Linked DNA regions of Sus scrofa. The protein of the gene in region 1 purifies or fractionates together with the protein of each later gene. This does not show direct contact. Links are inferred from orthologs where the notes say so. Each region holds a gene or a part of one and is shown on either strand. Other genes may lie near its edges.

Region 1 (2,410 bases):
GGGGAAGAACGGGGGCCTGGCCAGCCCCGCTAGACTCCGGGAAGGACAGACTTGAGGACAGCCCTCCCCCGCCCGGAGGGCAGCACCTGGGGTGCACTAGGGTGGCCCAGCTCCTCCGCCTACCCTGAGCCAGGCCGCACCCTCAGGCCAGCCCTCTCCACCATGCAGACCCCTGATGGAGAGCAGGTGGCCGGGGAGGCCAGGGCAGCAGGGCGGAGGCGTGGCCTATGAGGGCAGAGCTGGAAGCCTTGGTGGTCCTGGGGCTCTGGGCCAGTCTCCAAGGAACTTCCAAATTCCCCTGGAAGGCCTGGCTGGCTAAGGAGGGCAGGGGCAGAGGCCTGAAGGGAAGGAAGCAGAGGCCCAATAACCAGGAGGGGTCCCCAAGAGGCCTAGCCCCCTCAAAACTACTCCTGGCGGGGAGGCTTGGGGGTGGACAGGTGGAAGGCTGAGAGGAAGCCACCTGAGGGGGGTGGGGCAGCCAGACAGAGAGCAGCCAGGAGGGCAGCAGCAGAGCAGGGACACGCACACACGCGGCTCACCACCAGCGTCCCCTTTAATAAAACATGGAAGGTCGTGTGACAGGGAAGGGCGTGGGGGGTGAAGTACGACCATTTACAACCACAAAAAAAACCTCTGTACATGTCTAGTGCCTGGCAGAGGGGAGGGCAGGCAGGGCGGCGGCAGGCCGGGCCAGCCCTATTTGTAGAGGATGTCGTAGTGTCCAGGCCGGTAGAGAAGGTAGACCTTGGGCTCGGAGCCCTCGGGGAAGATGTGGGGGTTGGTGGTGCCGCCCTCGCCGCGGTCCATGTACTCCACCTGGATGGAGACGCTGAGCGCCTGGGCCAGCGCGATGATGTGGATGTGGTCGCTCTCCTTGCACATGGGCTCCACCTCCTGCAGCACAGGGGCCGCTCAGGGCCTGGGTCTTGGCGCCTCCGCACCCCCAGCCACCCGGTGCACCCCCGGGCCCCGAGGCTCCCACCCTGAGGCCCCAGTGAGTCTGGGGAGCGGGGAGGGGGCAGCACCTGCTGGCAGAACTCCTTGACGGTCCGCCCACCCTCGATGAAGTGCTCGAAGAACTTGCTCTCGCGCTGCAGGTAGCCCGAGGTGAGCAGCCGCAGGTAGACCACCAGGTAGTCCGAGGTGCTCTGGTCGTTGAAGGAGGCCAGCAGGTCGGCCACTGAGGTCTGCTTCTCCACCTGCTCGATTAGGTCCATGAACTGCCGCCCAAGGGGGACAGAGAGCAAGTGAGGGAGGAGATGGGCCGATGCTGCCTCGGCCAGGCCCCCCGCCCTCCACCCGGCCGAGAGGCTCACCGTGTTGTGGAAATCCTCAATTGTGAATTCGGTGAAGCCCTGGGACACCAGGTCCTCTTTGCTCTTAGCAGACACAGCCTTGAACCTGCAGCCGGGAGGGAAAGAGAGGCTGCGCGGGCTCCTCGGCCAGCAGAGAGGCCAGCTCAGAGGTGGGGGCCCGGGCAGCACGGGAACCGCACCTCCTGGTCCCCAGGAGGATGGAGGGAGCCCCTCGGGCCCTTCCTAGGACCCTGCCCCACCCGCCTCTTTGTGCTCGAGGGCCCGCCCTCCTCACCGCTGCAGCTCCTTGCTGTCATCCAGCAACGCCTCCAAGTGGGAGAAACCGAAAGCACGATAGAAGCAGTTTCCATCAGGCCTGGTCTTGCGGATGTACGAGTACTTTTTGTGGAGGTCCTGCGGAGAGGCAGCCCCCGCCCCACCCGGGCCCATCAACATCAGGCCAGAGCCAGGGCGGGCCGAGGAAACCGCCCTGACGAGGTTGCTCTACAGCAGGTGGCAACTAAGCTCCAAGCAGCCACCTGCCATCCTTGGCTGCTGACTCTGGTGATGCTACCAGGAGCCCCCAAAGCCTCAGGAAACTGACTTCTGGACACATAGGTTGCACGGGTCACCAGCGGCTGGGCAAGTGACTGAGTCCTTGATCAAAGCAGCTTTTCCAGGGAAGGACCTTTCACACTTGGAGAGCTCCAGGGCAGCGTGGTGCCCATGGCACAGCCTGGGGCTGGACACAGCCTCCCTCACCTCCTTCTAAGCTCTACCCCGCCCACCCTCAGGCACTGGCTCCATCTTTTCTGGTTCCCTCCCCAAACTCAGTGAAATTTCTTCTCTGTCTGTTGAACCTCCCTGTAGGAGTCAAGGCCTCACTCCCTCAGCCTAGGCGCCCTCCCCTTCTCCCCGACACCCATCTCATACCTTTTCTGTTCTCTTCAAACCCCCACCCACCTTGACCTTGCTTCCTTTTGGACTGAAGACTTCCCCTGAGAACCCCAGCCCCCACGGCACACCTGCCCATGGCCTTCACTCTGGGCCCTGGGAGGGTCTGAGGCCACGCCTCCCTGGGATGAGACACTGTTCCAGGGACACTGTTCCAGGGG
Region 2 (4,130 bases), on another chromosome or scaffold:
GACACAACAGTAAAAAATTCATAGAAAATTACTACAGCATGCCAACATTTGATCAGCTTTTATATTTTCTTTTTCTTTTGGTTGTGATAAAAAAATGAACAAAATGTCGATACTGCTGAAGGCTGTAGAAACATCTGATGTATAATTCCTAGAATTCATGGATGTTCCACAACTACTACCACTGATGGGAGTCCCATTAACAGAATCTTTTTTTCACCATCACAGATAATATTAATCAACAGGAAACAAATGATCTTTCTCTTATATGCAACAAAATATGTTTCTCCTGCTGTTGAGTATTAGCATGTCAAGCATATCCACAAGTTTTAGAGTGGAGAGGCACTATGGCAAAGTTTTCAATCACCAAGTGCCACCTAAAATGTAAATGGCTGCTTTTCAGTTTTATTTGCCCTCACAAGGACACACGAATATAACCACAGCTTAACTACAAAAAGTAATACCTGGGACATATGACTTAAAGTCAGGTTTGTAAAACTGAAAGTGGACTTAGCGCACAGTTTTTAAGTTTGCTTTCAAATATAGCCAAGGAAGGCCTTGAATTTACAAATTTTCTAGCACACATGATTACTTCTGATCATTAAGTTTCATGGAGAGGCACTGCTGATCTCTAGAAGTGTCAATTTCAATGAAGAAGAAAATGACTCATAAAAAGGAAATATCCTCAATGTACCAGTTAATTTGAGTTGACCAAATTTTCCTTGCCAACTCCTTAAACAATCTGTCAGAGGTTAATCCAATCTCTCTCCAAGGACACTCTCACTGAAGTTACCAAAGTACAGAACAAGTTTGCTTAAAAGCCTAATTCTAGGGAGGTGGCTTATAGACCATCTAAAGAATGACAACTCATTCAAGTACAAATAAAACTGATCAAGAAGGAAGTATTTTTCAACTATTGCTACTGATGTAAAACCAACAAAAGTGTCCAACACAGACAACATGCGTAATCCTTTTTTTCACACATTACCTTTTAGCACTAGTGGATAACTTAGCAGTGGTTTTGCTAGAGAGTTTGGTGTTTTTCTTCTGCTGGGTGGCAGAAGGTTTTCTTTCTTCTTGTTCTTCTGGCTCTGGAGCGGCTGGGTCTCGCTGGTCCGCATCTGAACTACCACTGCTGGTGCTGGGGCTCTCATCATCGGACCTTTGCCGATCACTGGACATCTTGGTGAAGTTATTTCTTGGAAAACTTTTCAATAGAAAAGGGAGAAAGGACAGGTAAGTCTATTAAATAAACCAACAGCATTTTCATCTCTTTATCTTCACCTAAAATCGTATTTTAATGAAAAGACTTCAAAAGTGTTCACACTTATCTCGTCGTAAAGCAAGGTTACAGGGGAGGTGATGGGTCTTACAACGCCAGCGTTCAGGGATTTACGAACTCAAGTTAGAAAACCCACTCACATTTTTTTCCATCCCTTGGACAATCTATCAATTGTCTACTTTCTCAGAAGGCATGAAACAGATTTGCCAGGGAACTTAGGCAACGAGCATTAATAACATATGACACACTGTAAATAACAGATCTTGCTGAAAAATGTTAAAAAGTCACTAATAACGTCTAAATATTTACACGCTGACATTGGTCAAAGCTACCAAATTCCCTTTCCAAGAGGAAAACATACCCTGTTAATCGCCCATATGCTTATTTAAGGTGGCGATTCCTCCTCGGTGCACGTAAGCCTTTAAATACAACACTTAGGAATTTAAAAAATCAACTAACAAGCTGCTCTAGCCGTTTCCACGGCCAGCAGGGAAGATTCATCCGGCCAAGACCGAGCTGCCACCCTGGGAAAAGCAAAATTCAAACTGCACCTTCTGCAAAGCTCCCCATGCCATCAAGGTTCCTCGCTCAATTTTTACATCACGGACCGACATTTTGTCCAAAATAACGAAAAAAAAAATCAGAGGAAAAACAAACAAACAAACAAAGCCCCAAGAAGTGCAACAAATTTCCGCGCCCGCGGAGGCGAGCCGCGGCCGGCGGCGCGGCCACGCAGCTCCGCGGCCCTTTGTGGGGAGGGCCGCGCGGGGGCCGCGGGCAGCGCTCGCCGCGCCGGGCGCCAAGTGATGCGAGCAGCCCGGCCGGCCCCGCCGCGGCTCGCGGACACCGGCGGCGCGGGCGCCCGGCGCGAACAAAGCTGCCCGCCCCCGCCCCCTCCCCCACCGCCGCCGCCGCCCCGGCCGCCCCCACGCGGCCCCCCGGCCCCGCCGCCTTACCTCGGCCGCCCGCCCGGCCCGCTCGCGCGCCGCTACGGTGTGGGGGAGGGAGAGAGAAAAAAACCCTTCCTTAAGGAAATGGAGGCAGCTGGGGGGGGGAAAGGGGGGGAGGGAAAAAAAGAAGCCGAGGAGGCTCTGGCCGGGGAGTGTGGAACATTGAAAGTCGGAGGGGGTTGTGCAGTGCCGGGCTCCGGCCGGAGGGTGGCGCCGCCCAGCGCCTTCGGAAAAAAGGGGGGGTGGGAGCTCGGCTGGGCGAGGGCGCGAGCTCCCGGCGAGGCGGAGGGGACGCGGGAGACCCCCGCGCGCTGTGGCCTCCCGCCGCCGCCTCCCGGCTCGGCTCCTCCCGGCCGCGCAGTCAGCAAGTTCCGAGGCGAGCGCGGGGGAGGGGCGGGCGCGGCGGCGGCGCGCGTGCTCGCTCACTGCTTGCCTGGCGAAGGGGCACGCGCCGCCGGCGGGCGCGAGCCTTTCTCGCGCGCTCCCGCGCGCTCTTTCCGCGCCTCCCTTCACCCGGGGGGCGCACGCGTCCGCCCGCGCGCGGCCCGGACAAAGAGCGCGGCGGGGACCCAGCGGGCTGGCCCCTGCCGCCCTTGGCCGCGGAGCGGGTGCCAGAAAAGGCGGGGGCGCGGGCGCCGTCTCGTGGGGCCGCTGTGCCGCGGGGTGGCTTCCGGCCTGAGCCCGCCTCCGGAGCGAGACTGCCCATTGGGCTACCTACCCCGCACGCTGGGCCGGGATCATCCCTGGGGCTGACCTGCAGCCCCACTGCATGTGCAGGGGCCGGCTTGGACCCCAGGGGCCCCAACTTCTGGACTAGCGCCCCGGGTGCGTGGTCGAGAGTCCCCCACTGCCCTAGAAGACTGCAGACTAATGGGTGTCGTTGACGAAGGCGGGCATGCAGGAGGAGGAAAGCTGCCTCTTGCCCCTCGTGTGAGCTAAAAGGGCAACATGGGGTCTTCGGCATCGAGGGAGGAAAAGAGATTTTGAGACTAGTTGACCAGCCTCTGCTTGCTTCTCTTTGGCCCTCAGCATACCAAAGGAGAAGGTGATCCTTCGGGTGCTTTGAAAACTTAAAAATTCAAAACAATTTTTTAAATGTCCCACTCAAGATTGTTTAAGTGAAGAAGGTCATAAACAGGGTTTATACCTGATGCTTTGCTGCGTGGTTCTAGTGAGGTGCATGCTAGAGGCCAGTTCTGGAAAGAGAACCATCTGTGATACTAGGTCAGAATGTCCACCCAGAAAAAAAGCTTCAGGTGGAGATAGTGAAGGTTAGTAGTTTTGTTCTGTCATTCTCTCTTGCAGTCTCCAGGTGGACTGCAGTTTTTGCCCCAGGCACAAAGTAACCAGAAGTACAAAAACTTCCTGTTTGCAGCCCAGACCTTCTCCAGCTCCTGAGAACTTGCTCCAGTGATGGAGCCCCAAAGGAATTTGTGGATTCCTCTCCCACAAATGTCAGGAGCAGGGGTGCTGGGAGAATGTGGAGTTCAGAGCAGGAATGACAATGGCAGAGTCATAACAGATGAACTAGAATTAAAGGGAAAAAGGGGAAAAAAAGGCTGAATGAGCCAACATATTGACTTTTTTTTCCTCCAGAGAGAAAAGTTTTGGTAAAGTGCTGCTTACAAATCTGAAGAGTAAGTTACAGTTCTGTAATTTTCCAAAGACACTGTCATTCGGTGAACCTTTTGGAGAACTATGCCCTAATTGCTGGACACACAAAACTCTCTCATTCAACTAGTGTGTGACTAAAGCCAGGTCTCCCTGCTCTAGAAGCCACCAGTCCAAAAGGAGAGCAAATGTTAAAGTCCACCAAGTTGATAAGAAGGAAAGATATTCTAGTCAGGAAGTCTCCTGTTGAAGAAGGCACCCTGTGTGTGGGGGGGGGGGGAAGACAAGCA

The links.
Region 2: the proteins of OTUB1 (region 1) and UBE2E3 purify together in Homo sapiens (affinity purification with mass spectrometry; 3 studies listed by BioGRID and IntAct, counting the BioPlex papers as one, with this or other methods). This does not show direct contact. The link is inferred for Sus scrofa from reciprocal best matches to the Homo sapiens genes OTUB1 and UBE2E3.

The regions. Positions count from the first base shown.
Region 1 is NC_010444.4:8,087,990-8,090,399, forward strand, and holds the end of OTUB1 (ubiquitin thioesterase OTUB1), read right to left. Parts: intron 1,710-2,410; coding exon 1,591-1,709; intron 1,402-1,590; coding exon 1,317-1,401; intron 1,221-1,316; coding exon 1,026-1,220; intron 895-1,025; coding exon 697-894; 3' UTR 539-696; downstream 1-538. UniProt on the Homo sapiens protein: Hydrolase that can specifically remove 'Lys-48'-linked conjugated ubiquitin from proteins and plays an important regulatory role at the level of protein turnover by preventing degradation.
Region 2 is NC_010457.5:86,469,601-86,473,730, reverse strand, and holds the start of UBE2E3 (ubiquitin-conjugating enzyme E2 E3), read right to left. Parts: upstream 2,820-4,130; 5' UTR 2,236-2,819; intron 2,109-2,235; exon of another isoform or gene 1,641-2,108; intron 1,205-1,640; 5' UTR 1,180-1,204; coding exon 986-1,179; intron 1-985. UniProt on the Homo sapiens protein: Accepts ubiquitin from the E1 complex and catalyzes its covalent attachment to other proteins. In vitro catalyzes 'Lys-11'- and 'Lys-48'-, as well as 'Lys-63'-linked polyubiquitination.